Linked DNA regions of Danio rerio. The protein of the gene in region 3 interacts with the protein of the main gene of each other region in a biochemical or structural test. Links are inferred from orthologs where the notes say so. Each region holds a gene or a part of one and is shown on either strand. Other genes may lie near its edges.

Region 1 (6,797 bases), on a different chromosome or scaffold from region 3:
GGTTTAAAACACATCCGTTTAGCTGTGCCTTTAATGAATGAGCACTGAGCTATGTCCAACAGAGCACAGTATTATGTCTTCTTTTCTTTTTCATTCTTTTCTAATCAGTTAACACATTTTAATCAGTTTTTATCTTTTAATAATTTTTAATCATTTTAATCATTTTAATTTTCATGTTTCTGTTATTCTTGTTTATGTAAAGCACTTTGATTAACAATGTGTATGAAAAACACCTCTTTTAGAAGAAAATTTCAAAAGATGGTACTTTGAGGTTTTTGAATCAGAACTCTCCATACTCTATATACTGTCAAGCCTAAAATTATTTCTACCTCTGGCAAATTTTGTTTTTGTTCAAATTTAAATAAAAAGCTAAGAAATATAATTTTTGGGAGAAGCTGGCATCATTTTCGGTCAAAAAAAACAATAGACAGAATTTTCCAGGGGTATGAATAATTTCGGGCTTGGCTGTATATTTCATATATGTAATGCTTTCATAATTTGATCATTTTTAAGAGTGTTTTCAACAAACCAATGTAGACCTCTAACAATCAGATTTTACAATGTAATAAAATAAACATATTGCTCTCCATTGTTTATAGCATTAACATTTATACACTGCCACAGATTTATGTCATTAATTAGCCAGCCATCCGGATGTCAAGAGATACTGCACAGCTCCATAAAGAAAACTATCATTAGCACAACAACATCCTCCCTGTAATTTAATTCAAGAGCTTTGAGCTCCACGAGATTCTGCCGGCCACCCCAATCTATCAATCTGACACGAGCCTTTAAAACAGAAATGCACTGGCTATAGTTTGTGCCGGAACTAATGTTCTTAGATTAATCAAAAACAGTCAACTAAAACCCAAACACAGAATGCTCATTCCTCTTGTCATGCATATTGACTTAATATGGCTGCATGCAATGAAAAATAATTTAATACCAGTTTCTTAATATGGATGTCTTAGTGTATTAAAAGGCTTTACCTTCAAAGGATTCCTTGTATTGGACAATGTTTGGATGGCTCATGTTAGCCAGAACTGCCACCTCTTTACGTGATTCCTGTCGTTCCTTGTTCGACATCTGATGAAAAAAAAAACAGTGCATGAATATGTATACATTTAGATAGCACCCTCAGCATATCACATTTTGTCTGGCTGAAATCTTAAATGAATAAAATACCTATTAGCATTTCTGAGAGATGTCTAAAAGATGAAAGTGATGGACTCACCCTGGAGATACCAATCTCCTTGATAACATATTGTCGGCCATCTGTCCTTGACTTGACCAAGATAGCTTTCCCAAAGGATCCCTCCCCAATCTTCTTTAACCTCTCATATTTATCCATGTCTGTGCAAATGACTTCTCATACTATAACGGAAAGAATAGCACATGATAAAAAGGAGATTTGAATTACTTTAAACGTGGGATTGTTAATGATGCTGCACAGGCTGGTGAAACTGAAGATCTACTTGAATTTTTACACACAATCAGATCTAGTGTGAACACGGATAGTAAAACGGAAACGGAAAGTAAAGTAAAGCTAAAAATAATCAGTAAGTGGCAATTTTATGAAAGAAAATGTCAGAGGTCAGAGCGGAATTACCAGACTGGGTTAAGCAGAGAGAATCTATTAATGATTTAATTAAATCAAGAAAGAAAAACAAAACACTGTTTACGATGGACTCTGCAGAAGAGTACAAATCCAACCATAAATCAGATGAGCTACAGCAGAAGAACAGCACACTAAATCCCACTCCTCACAGCCAAAGTCATACACAATCCACTCTGGCTCACCAAATTTGGACAATAAAAGAATGGAAAAAAGGTTAAATAGTCTGATAAGTCTCAATTACTTTTGTGACATTTAATAGTAAGGCCAGATTTCAGCATTTAGAACATGAAAAAATGGATCCACCTTGTCTATTTGAAAAGAATAATTTAGACTAATCGGGATGACTCAGTAGGGAAGTGAACAAAATAAAACATGTTACAAGCATGTATAAACATTACAGGACAAAGATAAACCTGAAATAAACAAAGCTTAATGCTTTTCTAGGAAAGTATAACTCTATTCAGGTGCAAAAATTGAATAATCAAATCTAAAAAACAAACATCTTGCACTCTTCATTGTGCCAATAATTGAATTTGAATCTTTATTAAAATTCCAAAGTGTCACATTTTCTTGTGCTTTAATACTTTACACTTTCTTGAAATGCTCACAGTCACAGGACTTTAAAAACACACACATGACAAACGCTCACTCTATGGTAAAACTGCAGTGACTCCAAAAACCTAATGTGCTCTGAACTGTGGCTCGTGATATAATGCCAACTCAACATTGCACATTCTGAGATGATACTTTTGCAAATGTGTGCATTGTCATATCGATGCTGAAATTATATATTGTGCAAGCCTACTGCCTAGTATTAACAGGCCAAGTAAATGGTGTGGCACATATGAAGTAAAATCTCTGAGGAATTTTTCAAGCATCTCCAGAATCTGCCACTCACAGGATTAATAAAACTAAGGCACCTAGTTAGTTAGTTAGATAGATAGATAGATAGATAGATAGATAGATAGATAGATAGATAGATAGATAGATAGATAGATAGATAGATAGATAGATAGATAGATAGATAGATAAATAGATCGATAGATAGATAGATAGATCGATAGATAGATAGACAGATAGATAGACGGATAGATAGATAGACGGATGGATGGATGGATGGATGGATGGATGGATGGATGGATGGATGGATGGATGGATGGATGGATGGATGGATGGATGGATGGATAGATAGATAGATAGATAGATAGATAGAGGTGTGGCATATTAAAGTCACATTCAGCTGTGATTCATTCACAGTGTCAGCAGGAATTATTAAACCAACTCAAGCGGAGCACCTCCTGATGAGTGAAATGTTGATATTTATTCCATACAGAATCCAGCTGCATGCTGGGAATGACTACAACTGCCAGATGGCCAAGGTGAATTCTCAGGAGGACAGGCATTTTAGACAAAATATTGGAAAGCAAACACTAAAAATATCATGCCCAAAAGTAGCAGCCTTGCTTGAAAGCAAAAAATAAGCAGCAAAAAGCCAGACAGTGAAAGAAGGCTTATGAATTAAATATGACATGTCAGGAGGAATTACCCACCACCCTTTAAAGGGACTAAGAAAGGGGTACAAAGAGAGAATATAAAAGAAAAACACGACTGATAGAGACACACCTCAAGATAACACAAATTAGGTTAAATACATGATGAAAACTGTCGCCCAATAATAATAACAAAAGCACAAAGCGGGCTGGAAACTAAAACTTGCAAGCTGTAAAGAACAAAGCAAAACACAGAGACTTACTCAAAATAGGAGCTGACTTGCACTGTCAACCATTAACAATAAGTTATTAACAAACTAGATTTGTTATGCAATTTTATGCTGTGTGGATAAAAGCAGCAGCACATTAACGTTACAATGCAAAGTGTGTAAAGCAGCAGCTGGTGTCTAGTGAAGCGGGGCCTTGAAAGGGTCGCTGTTCAAACTAATGACAATAACACGATACTAAAAGCGTGCTAATGAAAACGAAATGGTCAGTTTCATTGACAGGGCGGAACGACGCTGACATGGACTTTAAAGTTACACTCCGCCACATATTTTTGAAGAAACACACAATTTGTTCAGCAAATTTAGTTCTTACCTTGTATATCTTATATATTCCGAATAGTCAACGAGCACTGGCAGCATCACAGCAGCTCAAATGAAGATTTTTTTCTTTTGTGGGCGGTCTCATGTGTGCAGACGGCACACGCTTACTGCTAGGAGTGATTCGATTGGTCTACGCTCAATTTGAGTTACGGCTGATAGGTTGAAAAATATGTCAGTCAAAACATACAGCTGGCAAGTTTGTCTGTCAATGTTTGGCGCAAAATACCCCCCTAGCAACCGTCACCGGTTGGTACACGGTCATGGAGCCTTTGGTCACTATCCGCTTTCATGGTCCTTAACTGAAGAGCCTTTTGAAAATGACCCCACAAAAGGATTAATGAATTCTGGTGCACAGCACTTGTAATGTTTACAAGCATTGCACGTGTTTTGTACATTTCTTATAAAAAAGTATCATGTTTATGGTGTTTATCTTATTATTTATCATTAAAAATAATTTTTAAAAATAATAAAAATAATAATAATTATTATAATTGTATCAACTTGATTTTGTGAACAGTGCATATTTCTCACTGATTACATAGAATGAATGTTCTCTATTATTATTATTATTACTATTATTAATATTTTATTATTGCATAACAAGAACAACAGCATACAAAAAATGAAGAATACAATGCTTACACTTTTTTACATCTAAAGAATAAATCAGTAGAAAAATAAATAAATAAAATTACAGGGGATATATAAATGACAAAAAAATTGCTAAGAAAATGATTTCAAAACTGCATACATCCTTATAGCTTTTTTATTTTTTGTGTCTTTTAGGGTTTCGATATAATGCTTAAGATCAATTTTAACCAAATAAATATTAAGCTTATCATTGGGCCATTTTTGTTTGTGTACATAATACTTCCCATATATTATCATTAAATTAAAAAACTAAGTTTGCTAAAAAGTTTTGTTATTATTATTGTATATCAAAAAAAAAAATCTTTACAAGAAAACTGATTTTTTATTTTTGTAAGTTTAAATACAAGATATTCAACATTAAACCAAAACATTTGGGTATATGTGCATTAAAAAAACTGGTGTTTTATCGATTCCTCCTCTAATTTACAAAAAGTGCACATAGATTCTATGTCTCTAAAAAAAAATGTAACAACTTTTCACTGGATAAATTAAATGTATTAGTTTGTTGCTTATTTAATTTTAATGGTGAGACAGTATTTACTAGGTAAGTTCCATTCTTTTTTCCACTCAATCTGTTTAAAAAAAGAATTAAAAAAAAATTTGCATTTAGGCAAAAATGTGGTTCTGCATAACTTTTTATTGCAAGTAATTAAATTTATTGTCTATAATTTTCATACCTTTTATACTTAACTGATTAGTATGTAAAATATTTGATATTTGAAATTACCAAGTAAGAGCTGAACAGGTCCACTTGGATGAATGTTGATACAAAATTTGAAAGTTTACCCGCCGTTTTCTGAGTCAGTTATTTTTCTCCAGAGCTGAAAATCTCCACTTAAACAGCGACACATGCACCAAACCTCAGCTTACGTAGTCAATAAAGGACATTCTCAAATTCACCATCTTATATGCACAATATATCTTTTTAAGGCTGAAAGTAGCCCTTATCATAACTTGCAAATTTAAGAGAAAATAAATTAAATGAAAAGGCTGTTAATATATATAACCGCTGTTTATGCAAATCACACACAGGAGGCTCATAATCATTGAACATATAATTGTTTGACTAATGACGCTTAGTTTTCATTTTAAAATCTTTATTTGAACGAGGCAACACTTTTATTTTATTTACTTTACCATGGCAAAATATCACACTTTACAATACTTTGATAGTGGATGAATAGATGTGTATTTACTGGCTGCTCAAATGACCATGTCAAACAGATTGAACCACCACTGTAATAAACATTCATTGATTTTTCTTCAGTTTAGTCCCTTTATTCATAAGGGATGGCCACAGCGAAATGAACCGACAACTTATCCAGCATTTGTTTTACTTATCCAGCATATGTTTTACATCTGCCACAAAAATATTATAAACATTCAGAACACCACACAGTCCAGAAGCTGTTTTTGGAGGAGAAAATCAGACAGCACTGTGTATCACTGTGTTTGCCGTGGCTCAGCCCCGCTTGTCACTAAAGTACGAAAGTGACTGAGACAGACAGACAGACAGTCAAACGAACCTGGGTGCGGACCTAAAGTGCTAGTGTGACAGCCCCCTTAACACTGAAAACTGGACTGACACGGTTTTAATTTACTATGATCTTCTATGTGAAGCTGCTTTGACACAATCTACATAGTAAAAGCGCTATACAAATAAAGGTGAACTAAACTGAAAAAGTGTCGAGCACGAAAGTGGAGAGCAGGGGGGGCGTTGGCGGAGAGGTGTCATGGACGAAGAACGGAAGTGAAAAGCGGAGGGTTGTCGCGGATAAAAGTGAAGATGGTTGGGGAGTCGGGACTATAGTAACAGTGAACAGGGGAGTAGGGCGGTTGAGAAGGAGGATCGTTAAAATGAGGTGCCAGATCAAATTTCAGAGGTGCTGGATCCGGAGTGTACCGGCACAATTTAAGGCCTGCTTTTACCCGTACTATAGCAGTAAATGCTGTCTTTTTTTCAAAGGATCAAAATAGGCAGAGCGGTGGAGAGTGAGGACTAGGGTTGAGAAATGCAGCCAGAAACACTCAGTGCTCAATTCTCCATCATACGCTGATCTGCTCATCCACTCATTCTCCTCCATGTTTCTTCTGGTGGCTCAGAAAACTTCCTAAATACGCAAACCTCTCTCCGCAGATGGAGCAGCGGTACGGTTTCTCTCCAGTATGAACCCTCTCGTGGGTCTTCATCACATCAAGTCGCGCAAACGTCTTGTCGCAGTGTGAACACTTATAGGGTCTATCTCCAGTGTGAGTCCTCATGTGGTTTTTTAAGATGCTTGTTTTATTGAAACTCCGCCCACAGATTTTGCACAGGTACGGTTTTTCTCCAGTGTGGTGTCTCTGGTGATAAACCATCTCAGTAGAAGATTTAACTCTCTTCCCGCATTCGGCGCACAGGTACGGTTTCTCTCCGGTGTGAATCCTCTC
Region 2 (6,708 bases), on a different chromosome or scaffold from region 3:
TATTATGACTTGCCTAATGACCCTAACTTCACCCTAATTAACCTAGTAAAGCCTTTAAATGTCACTTTAAGCTGAATACTAGTGTCTTCAAGAATATCTAGTCTAATATTATGTGCTGTCATCATGGCAAAGAGAAAATAAATCAGTTATTAGAAAGGAGTTATTATAAATATTATGTTTAGAAATGTGTCCTTTAAACAGAAATTGGGGAAAAACTATTTACCAGAAGGTTTAATAATTCTGAACTTTCTGTGAGTCTGAATTTCTCCTAAACCCCCCGCTGTTGAAACTGACACACATATTTACTCTGTGTGTTCCCAGCACCCCTCACTCACGATGGCTTTGCTGTAGCAGGTGACGGCCTCCTGGTACTTGCGGCTGAGGAACAGGCGGTTTCCCTGCTCCTTCAGCTCCTGTGCGGATGAGCTTTTCTCTGGGCTGCTCGCCATCTTCTCCATGGGCTCTGCGGTGGCCGCTCCCCCCTGCTTCCCAATCCTGTTCCCCGTCTCTTCGGTGAGCACCGGCCGGTCCCGGGGAGCCAGTTACCTGCAAACCTCTCAGAAACACACAAGGAAAATATGAGCCACAGTAATGCAGGTGCAAAATCATAACAATATTCTTATGGGGTCAATTTTATTAGCCACCATAAGAATATACATTCAAAACAGTTTGTTAGAAACAATGATATGCTTTGCGTGTTTGTTTTTATGTTTATATAAGTGCTATTTTCATTTATAGCTCTTGATTTTTGCATTGATTTTTAATATCTCTTGTTTAAATACACTATGAACAGCAGCTACGCTAATTATTTTCTTTATTTTCTATTTCCACCTGGGGATACTCATCCCGAGGCCTCTAGAGATTGTGCAGCGCCATTGATGTGATCCAAGACCTGTGAAGAAATGATGCCAACCGCAGAGCACTTCTAGAGGTCTCCATAATCCTGGACCAGGCCGTATCCTGAGCAGATATCAGGGCCGGAGTGGGACTCATTTTCAGCCCTGGAGTTTCAAGCCAGACCAGCCCACCTCGACTGATTACATTAAAATAAGGTCATTTCCAATTCAGTTTCTAATGACACTATCACATCTTTTTTGAGAAAACAGCTGCTTTAGAAATTCAAATGTTCAACAACCCTTACAGTATTATGTCATAAAAACGAAAAATAATAATAATAATTTTTCAGGTGAGATTCGAACATGGGTCGGAAGTTTCGCAACGCAACGTGCTTTCCACTGGACCACAATGGCGCTATTCCAGTGGGAATAAAAAATAAAGATTACACTGTGAACGGCAAGACATAGTATTACTTTGATGGCTAAATCATTTTCTCCTTTTAGATTTCTGATCAAGTTTTGTCAGATTTAATGTAGTAAATCATCTGATTTTCATTGAGCAGGTGTATTATTCATTAATATTAATTATTCAAATTCTTATAATCACTAAGGTGCCACTGTTTGGGGTCGAATGATTAGTTACATCATCATTAACGTTAGTAAACCTGCAGGCTGCATTTTGCTCACGGAGCAGCAAGAAAAAAAATAAATAAAAAGAGCGGCGCTGCGGCAAAATAATGAAAAACAAAAAAAAAGAGTGAGGCTATGGTCAAATTAATAAATAAATAAATGAAAAAAGTGTGACTGCTGAGAGTGCAAGCAGCTAGGGACACTGGCCCTCACGGCCAAAAAACGGACCGACCCACCAGGAATTCTCTCGGTTCGCCAATCCGGGCCTGGCAGATATTGTGGTTGTCATGGAGGAGCTGAGAGCATAAGACTGATGCCTGAATCACCCCAGTGACAAACAAGTCCTCACATTTATCAAGTGGGCCAGCCTGAACACACGCCGGTGACCTACTCACACTTGCATCTTCTCCACGATGGACATCCAGCGTTCTCCAGCCTCCGGCGCCTAGACTGCTTTTCTGCAGTTTGGTCAGAGGAGAAATGGTCGTGCCCAACAGAGCCGGTTTCTCTCCAGGTTTTTTCCTTCACTTCAATCACGTCAATTGGTGAAGATTGTTCCTTCGCTGTTGCCACTGGCTTGCTTGGTTTGGGAATTGTGGAGCTGCGCATCGATGGATTTGCTCTTCAGTGTTTGAACTCTCAGTATTGAATATTAAACCACACTGAACTAATCTAAACTGAACTCCAACTCTGAAAACTGGACTGACAGTTTACACTATCACTATATCACTATAATCTTCTATGTTAAGCTGCTTTAACACAATCTGCATTGTAAAAGCGCTACAGAAATCAAGATATTTTTCAATTAGCTACAGAACAAACCATCATTATACAATGACTTGCCTAGTTAACATAATTAAGCCTTTAAATGCTGAATACAAGTATCTTGCAAAAACTTGCACGACCCTCAATTGGTACTAATGGACCCAAAGTGTGCTAAAAAAATCTCCCCCACACCAATACACCACCACCACCAGCTTAAACCGCTGACACAAGGAAGGATGGATTCATGCTTTTATGCTGTTGACGTCAAATTCTGACCCGAGCATCTGAATGTGTCAGCAGAAATGGAGACTCATCAGAGCAGGCAACGTTTCTCCAATCTTCTATTGTCCAGTTTTGGTGAGTCTGTGTGAATTGTAGCCTCAGTTTCCTGTTCTTAGCTGACAGGAGCGGCACCCGGTGTGCTCTTCTGCTGCTGTAGCCCATCCGCCTCAAGGTTGGACGTGTTGTGTGTTCAGAGATGCTCTTCTGCAGACCTTGGTTGTAACGAGTGCTTATTTGAGTTTCTGTTGCCTTTCTATCAGCTGGAACCAGTCTGGCCATTCTCCTCTGACCTCTGGCATCAACAAGGCATTTGTGCTCACAGAACTGCCGCTCACTGGATATTTCCACTTTGTCGGAGAATTCTCTGTAAACCCTAGAAATGGTTGTGCGTGAAAATCCCAGTAGATCAGCAGTTTCTGAAATACTTAGACCAGCATGTCTGTTATCAACATCCATGCCACGTTCAAAGTCACTCAAATCCCCTTACTTCCTCATTCTGATGCTCGGTTTGACCTGCAGCAGATCGTCTTGACCATGTCTACATGCCTAAATGCATTAAGCTCCTGTCGGTGAGTGTATACTCTACATTTTTCTGATTTTGATTGAAATGTATTAACGTGCACCTTTTGTAGAGCTGCTGTTCATATAGTAGAAATGATTAAAATGAATTGTTTAATGTACATCACACACACACACACACACATCTGGACAACAGTAACACACATCTGGACACTGACAGTTGTGTGAAATCATTCATGACTCTTTATGCAGCTCTGTGAACTTAAAACACACACAATCCAACAGTTAATCACTAAAATTAAGCACTACCAACGAGTAAATGTAATTTCACGTCGATCAGAAATTAAACTCCTGTGCCTGACACATAAGCACATTCACACACACTTTACAAGCTAACAACCAGGTCAGCGCTGAGAATAAACACGCTTAGAGATTAAATCAGATGGTTTGAATATGAAATATGGATTATTTGAGGCGTACCGGGTTTGACTGCTGGACTGACGCCTGTCGTTAGCAAACCGGTAGCGACACTGGTGCTTTGATGATCACTTTTGGATCCCTGATAGCGAATGAAACGCGGCCAAACTCATATTCCGACTCGATCATGACATTAAGATGACAAATGTCCGACGTTTTCATCGGCGATCCTCAAAAACACGACATTTTACCCGCGGGTGTGAGACGCTAGCATCATGTTTCGGTTGTTTTGACTCTGCCGTCACTGTGACGTCGCCGGAGGTGACGATCGGAAGCTCGTTGCCAACGTAATAACGCCACCTGTCGGCGACGTGCAGGAGTTTAATTTCATAATAATAATAATTAGATAAAATATATAAATAAATATGAAAACAGTTATAATAATAATGCTTGATTATTATCATTATTTATTCTACATTTTACACGTTTTTTTCCGGTTACACATTTTAAAAAGTGTTCTAGAAAAGCATGTAATAAAAATATAAATAACTGACTTAATTTCTACTTCAGCATATAATTTTGAGCTTTCTAATGACTTTTAATTCTTATGACTTTAATACCTTATTTATAATTTTGACCTTTAAGTAACAGAGTAAGCCATAATTGCTCATTTTTTATTAAGAATTACAAAAAAAGTCTTAATTTCTTCTTTAAATATTTTTTTTCATGTAGTTATAGAATTTAGCTATATAATTTAATATAAAAATACATCAAATGTCTTTAATTCTCCTGTAAAAATGTGCATTTTGTATTTAATTTTTGTTTAGAGACATTTTAGAGTCACCCTAAAAAGCTGCATCATATTTTAGGTGCAAAACAATGAGTTTGCTAAAATGATGTGAATAATTTAATAATAAACATACTCAAATTCAGATTGCAATATAATTTCTTGCTGAACACCAAACACATTCAGAAAAATAATATATTAACATTAAAGAACAGTAAAAGAGTCACCAAACACCATTTCAGTTCATAAACCATATAATGCACTTAAATGAGGACAACATGAACAGTCGACAAGTAAGACAAGTAGAAAAAATACATGAATCAAAATGTGAATAATTATGATGATAATATATAATTCATTAGTGTTATCATCATTTTTACTCTACATTTTAGTTTTTTTGTGATTATTAATTTTAAAACTTTAAAAATGTTCAAGATAATGTGCTTTCTTATCACTTCTAATTTTGATTTAGGTATAACATTTCTTTTTTTTAATACCCTATTTATAATTTTGACCTTTAAATAACTCAGAGTAAGCCATAATTGCTCATTTTAATTAACATTTATGAAGAATGCCGTCATTTCTTCTTTAAATTTTTTTTTCATGTAATTACATAATTTAGTCATAGACTTTATTATAAAAATAAGTCAAATGTCTCTAATTCTTCTGTAAAAATGTGAATTTTGTATTCAGTTTTTGTTTAGAGATATTTTAAAGTCCCCCCAAAATAGCTGCATCATATTTTAGGTGCAAAACAATGAGTTTGCTGAAAATGATGTGAATAATAATAAATGTACTCAAATTCATGTTGTAATGTTATTTCCTGCTGAACACCAAACACATTCAGATAAATAATATATTAACATTAAGAAACAGTAAAAGAGCCCTCATTCACCAAACACCATTTCAGTTCATAAACCATATAATGCACTTTAATGAGGACAACATGAACAGTCGACAAGTAGAAAAGTATATGTAAACAAATGTGAATAATTATAATACATAATTCATTAGTTTTATCATTAATTACTCTACATTTGCAGTTTCTTTGTGATGATTAATTTAATAACTAAAAATGTTCAAGATATTGTGCAATGATTTAATTTCTACTTAAGCTAATCGTACTTTTGAGTTTTTGTATGATTTTAAGTATGACATTTCTATTTTTTACCTTTTAATTTGACCTTTAAATAACTCATAAGACTTAATTGCTCATTTTTAAATTAATAATTACAAAAAATGCCATAATTTCTTCCTTTAACATTATTTTTTTTATGTAACTACATAATTTAGCCATGGACAGTAATATAAAAATACATCAAATGTCTCTAATTCTCCTAGAAAAACGTGAAATTTAGTCTTTCTCATATGTACAATTACACAAAACTTCCAAAATCAGCCTGAATTTTGTTTTTAGTTTCATGAAGAATAAAAAAAAGTTCGTTTTTTGCATCATATTGTAGGTGCAAAAAAAAAAAACATGTGAATTTTTTCTAAATGCAATTAAATTCATTTATTAATTTTCATTCGCTTTTTCAGGGTCAGCAGTCTTAGGACAGAACCCCAGACACTTCCTCCAGCTCCACCGGAGGATCCTGAGGCACTCTCAGCCCAGCAGAGACACATAGTTCCTCCAGCGTGTCCCCCAAGGTCTCCTCCCCGTGGGACATGCCTGGAACACCTCTCTAGGTAGGCATCCGAAACAGGTGCCCGAGCCACCTCAGCCGACTTCTCTGGATGTGGAAGAGCAGCGGCTCTACTCCGAGCTCCTCACCCCGTCTATGAGGATGCGCCCTGCCACCCTGTGAAGAAGACTCATTTCGGCCACTTGTATCCAAGATCTTGTTCTTTCAGTCATCACCCAAAGCTCATGACCATAGCTGAGAGCAGGATTGTAGATTCATCGGTAAATCGAGAGCTTTGCCTTTTGGCTCAGCTCCTTCTTCACCACAACCGGCCAACACATTGACCGCATTACAGCTGCACCAATCCTCCTGTCAATCTCACACTCCATCCTTCCCTCACTCCTGAACAAAACCCTGAGATACTTGAACTCCTCCACCAGGGGTAAGGACTTTCCTCCATCCTCGAGATGGAATCAAACTCATGTTGCAATATGTCATTTCTATATTAATACCAAACAGATTCAGGTAAATGACACACCTTTCACAACAGCAAGAGCCCCCATTCACAACAAACACCACTTCAATTCATAAAACCATTTAATGCACTTTAATAAGGAGGACATGAAATCAAAACGGCATTATAAAAGATCATGTACATAATAAATCTGAAGCAACACTTCAAGAACACGCTTGTTCAGATTTCGTCATCTCCTACAGCTCTCTCTCTCTCTCTCTATGGGGAAAACAATGGAGCTAGATTTAAAGGAAGGGGCGTTTAAACTGACCTCAGAACAGCTTTCAGAACAAAAACAACATGCACACATTCCCTCAGAACAAACCAAATCTA
Region 3 (6,146 bases):
TAAATCAAATGCATTACTGTCAACATCTACATCATTACCGCCACAAGCCCTATCATCATTACTATCAGTGATTCAAATGCATCCCTATCAAGCAGCATCCCGATCTTTACCACAACCCTAAATCACATAACTATCAATGAATAAAATGCATCACTATCATAAGTTCACCAACATGTATAGCATTACCACAACCCCAATCATCATTACCATCAATGAATCAAAAGAATCACTATCATACTTTCACCACCATGTATATCATTACCACAACTCTAATCTTATTACTATCAATTAATTAAAATGCATCACTATCGACCATCTCTTTCATTACCGCAACAATCATATTTCTATCAATGACTGAAACGCACCACTATCACCACCATCTCTATCATTTCCGCAACCCAAATCATATTACCATCAACGATTAAAATGCATTACTATATCCAGTTCAACACCATGAATATCATTACCACAACTCCAATAATATTACTATCAATTAATAAAATGCATTACTACCAACATCTTCTACATCATTACCACTACAAACCCTACTCCCCCCAACTCCATTACCTCAATAACAATCGTCATTACTATCAATGAATCAAATGCATCACTATCACCACCAAAAAAGTAATCATCATTACCATTAATGAATCGCTATCATCAGCATCTCCATCATTACCGCAACCACAATAAGCATTACTATCAATGAATTAAATGAATCACTATTATCACCATCATTACCAAAACAACCATTATTTATATCAATGAATCAAATACATCACTATCATTACCACAACAAGCATTAATATCAGTGAATCTAATGCATCACCATCCCCACACATATCTATCATTACCGCAACCACAATAAGCATTACTATCAATTGATAAAATGTATCACTATTATATGCAACATTACCAAAACAGCAATTATCACCATCTATGAATTAAACTAATCACTATCATCACCATCTCAATCATTACCAAAACATTTCTCATTACTATCAATGAATCAAATGCATCACAACCCCCACCATCTCCATCATTAATGACCACAACATCAGTATTATTGTTGCCATGACATTCAATGATCATCAACAGCTCAACTCTTCATAAAAACCATAGCCATCATTTTTGCATCCTATCATTACCATCACAACCACAACTTTTAAAATTGTAGCCATCATTGCAATAACCAAAGTGTTTAAGATAGTCCAAACACTGCAAAACAAGTTTCTCTTTTACCTTTGCGAGAGCATGGAACGGTGATCTTGATGAAACTAGCTGGGTTTTCTTCTAAAGTCAAAGCCTCAACCAGACAGTAAGCTTCAGCAGACCAGCTCAAATAGATGCCCTTCCTCCAGTAGATCCGGTTTGGTTTTAATGCTTTTTCTATAGAGAAAAAAAAAAAAAAAAAAAAAAAAAAACACGTTACAAATCTTAATTCTTATTTAATTTTCCAGGCTTTAAGTGCTTTAATTTTGTTCTCGGAGCAACTAACAACCTACAAAACATAAAAAATGACAACCAATATCCTTGTTTTGGTAAGTCTACTTTCACATATGCAGTCAGATCAATGTAGGTTTGAAAAGACGAGTTATTATGGTTACCTTTTTTTTACGCTTCTGAAAAACAGCAGCTCATTTGCAATGTCACCTTTAATGTGTGCATAACTTTGGAATGGGTAGTTCAATGTTATAGGAAACTTTATGGTGATTTCCAGCATTTGTGTTGTATTACCTCTGCCATAGAGCAGGAATGCAGACACTTCCAGCAGACGGCTGATCTGTCTGGGCCAGTAGCCCATCGGAAAATATGGCATCTCATATAGTCGAATGATCACTTCTGAATTCTCACAGTGAGGAAGCTCAATCACTGGCCTGTGGTCTGACAGACTGTGAAGAAAAACAACAATATTAGCGCACATGTGTTCAATTTAAAGGGATCATGACTTACATTTTTGTACTGTTCAACTGTTATGCTGTGTTCACACCAGACGCGGAACCCGCGGATAAATCGCGGTATTCGCACGTAAATTGCCGCGTGAACATTTAAAGTCACTCGCTTCATTCGCGCGTCAAATTCCCTTCAGAACAGACGCGGATTCGCGTGATGGGCAGGGCTTCTGTCTGCCCAGTGACTGTAGCGTCGTTGCTAAAATGGCTAACATGGATTTTATGAAGAAAAAAAAAAACATTGTTTATGTACTTTATGAAGGCTGAAAACAGCGTCAATACGTTTAGGACAGTGTCTGAGTCCACTACATGCTTTCAGAGGTGCATCCAGCTCTGTGAGCTCAAAAACTCCTCCAGAAACTGAACCTGGATCACGGAGTCTTTCAACGGTGCTTCTGACTGAGCCAAGCCCAGTTTGATGACTTGTCGGTGTCGCCTGGAGGATTTCACCCAGGACACCATCAACAGGTTCTACGTCACAATCACGCCCCCACAAGAGCAAGCTTCTGATTGGTTAACGCGGCGCGAATGTCCGCTGAAGTTCAGATTTTCGAACTCGATTGATTTGCGCGAAACGCGCGTTAAGCGCATAACATGCGCAAACGCTCAATTCGCCCCGCGCCATTCGCGCATATCACGCTATTCCCACTGCGCCATTCATGCAATTTGCGTCATTCGCGTTGCGCGCCACAGGATGTCTATACGCGTGTTAGCATCGACTTAAGATGTATCACTCGCGCTTGACGCGCGTTCTGCGTCTGGTATGAACGCAGCATTACACTTATAATATTAAGTGTAAAATTATAACATTATAAATGTGCAGTTATATATTATAATTGTCCATTTTCTGTCCTGTTTTTGACCTCAATCAAAATCCTGTTTGAATGGGCGTGGCAGATTGTAGACTCAGAAGTAAACACCCACTGTTCTGATTGGCTTACAGTTCTGCTTATTACCAGAGCCATACAAACAGTGAAAAAAAGTAGATGTCAATCTTCAGTGGAGGTGGGGTTTATCCAACCTATTACATCATAGAGTAGAACATTCCAGAACCTGTTGTTTTAGCAGACTGCCTTTAATATAAGCTCATTTTAGAGCAACCACAAAGTTGAGCTTTAAAACTTTTAAGATGTTTTTATAGTAGTATAAGCTCCTAATGTTAAAAGATCAGGGGAATTTGGGTTTCTATGTTCATGACCCCTTTAATACAAAAAGCATTACCTGCTAGGAATGAGTAGCTGGTCATGGTCAAATGGCAGGGCTATCTGAAACTTCTCCAACAGTTTGAAGTATTGAATCATGTGATCCTTTGGGAAACAGCGGCTTTTCTCCACAAATTTCTCCACGGTGGAGCGCTGCACCACTCCTTTCGTGCTGTCCCATGGACCGCTGCTTTTCAGAGACAGCGTCTGTCAGTTAACACAACGAAAAAAGATGTTACAGATCTTTCGCAGTTGTTGAACAGAGGAGCTAGATGTGTTTTAGCATGTATAACCTGTGAGATGATCCTACAAAACCACTGTAGGTCAATGAAGTACAGATCCTTCAGCTGAAGAACTGGATCAAAGTGCAGCAAGACACCTGGAGATAAGTCACAGAGGGTCTGTTAATATTTTTCAGTCTCTTAAAAAGGAAATGTAGCATAGCATTACTACTAAAAATAAGCATTCATCAGCTGATACGACTGGTAATATTACTACTAAAAATAAGCATTTATCAGCCGATACTGATATGACAGGTAATATTACTACTAAAAATAAGCATTCATCAACCGATACTGATGACAGATAATATTACTACTAAAATAAGCATTAAGCCAATACCGATATGACAGGTAATATTACTACTAAAATAAGCATTTATCAGTTGATACCGATATAACAGATAATATTACTACTAAAAATAAGCATTTATCAGCCAATACCGATATGACTGGTAATATTACTACTAAAAATAAGCATTTATCAGCCGATACTGATATGACTGGTAATATTACTACTAAAAATAAGCATTTATCAGCCGATACCGATATAACAGATAATATTACTACTAAAAATAAGCATTTAATCAGCCGATACTGATATGACAGGTAATATTACTACTAAAAATAAGCATTTATCAGCCGATACCGATATGACAGAATATCACTATTAAAATGAAGCATTTTTCAGCCGATACCAATATGACTGGTAATATTACTACTAAAAATAAGCATTCATCAGCCATGCCGATATAACAGATAATATTACTACTAAAAGCATTTAATCAGCCGATACTGATATGACAGGTAATATTACTACTAAAAATAAGCATTTATCAGCCGATACTGATGACAGATAATATTACTACTAAAATAAGCATTAAGCCAATACCGATATGACAGGTAATATTACTACTAAAATAAGCATTTATCAGTCGATACCGATATAACAGATAATATTACTACTAAAAATAAGCATTTATCAGCCGATACCGATATGACTGGTAATATTACAACTAAAAATAAACATTTATTAGCCGATACCGATATGACAGGTAATATTACTACTAAAATAAGCATTTATCAGTCGATACCGATATAACAGATAATATTACTACTAAAAATAAGCATTTATCAGCCGATACCGATATGACTGGTAATATTACTACTAAAAATAAGCATTCATCAGCCGATACCGATATGACAGAATATCACTATTAAAATGAAGCATTTTTCAGCCGATACCAATATGACTGGTAATATTACTACTAAAATAAGCATTTATCAGCCGATACCGATATAACAGATAATATTACTACTAAAAATAAGCATTTATCAGCCGATACCGATATGACTGGTAATATTACTACTAAAAATAAGCATTCATCAGCCGATACCGATATGACAGAATATCACTATTAAAATGAAGCATTTTTCAGCCGATACCAATATGACTGGTAATATTACTACTAAAAATAAGCATTCATCAGCCATGCCGATATAACAGATAATATTACTACTAAAAATAAGCATTTAATCAGCCGATACTGATATGACAGGTAATATTACTACTAAAAATAAGCATTTATCAGCCGATACCGATATGACAGAATATCACTATTAAAATGAAGCATTTTTCAGCCGATACCAATATGACTGGTAATATTACTACTAAAAATAAGCATTCATCAGCCATGCCGATATAACAGATAATATTACTACTAAAAGCATTTAATCAGCCGATACTGATATGACAGGTAATATTACTACTAAAAATAAGCATTTATCAGCCGATACTGATGACAGATAATATTACTACTAAAATAAGCATTAAGCCAATACCGATATGACAGGTAATATTACTACTAAAATAAGCATTTATCAGTCGATACCGATATAACAGATAATATTACTACTAAAAATAAGCATTTATCAGCCGATACCGATATGACTGGTAATATTACAACTAAAAATAAACATTTATTAGCCGATACCGATATGACAGGTAATATTACTACTAAAATAAGCATTTATCAGTCGATACCGATATAACAGATAATATTACTACTAAAAATAAGCATTTATCAGCCGATACCGATATGACTGGTAATATTACTACTAAAAATAAGCATTCATCAGCCGATACCGATATGACAGAATATCACTATTAAAATGAAGCATTTTTCAGCCGATACCAATATGACTGGTAATATTACTACTAAAATAAGCATTTATCAGCCGATACCGATATAACAGATAATATTACTACTAAAAATAAGCATTTATCAGCCGATACCGATATGACTGGTAATATTACTACTAAAAATAAGCATTCATCAGCCGATACCGATATGACAGAATATCACTATTAAAATGAAGCATTTTTCAGCCGATACCAATATGACTGGTAATATTACTACTAAAAATAAGCATTCATCAGCCATGCCGATATAACAGATAATATTACTACTAAAAATAAGCATTTAATCAGCCGATACTGATATGACAGGTAATATTACTACTAAAAATAAGCATTTATCAGCCGATACTGATGACAGATAATATTACTACTAAAATAAGCATTAAGCCAATACCGATATGACAGGTAATATTACTACTAAAAATAAGCATTTATCAGCCGATACTGATGACAGATAATATTACTACTAAAATAAGCATTAAGCCAATACCGATATGACAGGTAATATTACTAC

What was found. The genes of interacting proteins can lie anywhere in the genome.
Region 1: the proteins of lrrk2 (region 3) and nek1 interact on a protein array, tested with the Homo sapiens proteins (2 studies listed by BioGRID and IntAct, with this or other methods). The link is inferred for Danio rerio from reciprocal best matches to the Homo sapiens genes LRRK2 and NEK1.
Region 2: the proteins of lrrk2 (region 3) and stub1 form a complex in vitro, tested with the Homo sapiens proteins (3 studies listed by BioGRID and IntAct, with this or other methods). The link is inferred for Danio rerio from reciprocal best matches to the Homo sapiens genes LRRK2 and STUB1.

Annotation. Positions count from the first base shown.
Region 1 is NC_133195.1:26,280,773-26,287,569, reverse strand, and holds the start of nek1 (serine/threonine-protein kinase Nek1), read right to left. Parts: upstream 3,759-6,797; 5' UTR 3,709-3,758; intron 1,375-3,708; 5' UTR 1,352-1,374; coding exon 1,235-1,351; intron 1,087-1,234; coding exon 990-1,086; intron 1-989. Other genes in the region: uncharacterized protein si:ch211-191d2.2, read right to left, coding at 6,438-6,797. UniProt on the Homo sapiens protein: Phosphorylates serines and threonines, but also appears to possess tyrosine kinase activity. Involved in DNA damage checkpoint control and for proper DNA damage repair.
Region 2 is NC_133199.1:43,370,364-43,377,071, reverse strand, and holds the start of stub1 (E3 ubiquitin-protein ligase CHIP), read right to left. Parts: upstream 3,759-6,708; 5' UTR 3,513-3,758; intron 557-3,512; 5' UTR 459-556; coding exon 336-458; intron 1-335. UniProt on the Homo sapiens protein: E3 ubiquitin-protein ligase which targets misfolded chaperone substrates towards proteasomal degradation.
Region 3 is NC_133200.1:38,207,903-38,214,048, forward strand, and holds part of lrrk2 (leucine-rich repeat serine/threonine-protein kinase 2), read right to left. Parts: intron 3,534-6,146; coding exon 3,448-3,533; intron 3,362-3,447; coding exon 3,174-3,361; intron 1,893-3,173; coding exon 1,738-1,892; intron 1,390-1,737; coding exon 1,243-1,389; intron 1-1,242. UniProt on the Homo sapiens protein: Serine/threonine-protein kinase which phosphorylates a broad range of proteins involved in multiple processes such as neuronal plasticity, innate immunity, autophagy, and vesicle trafficking.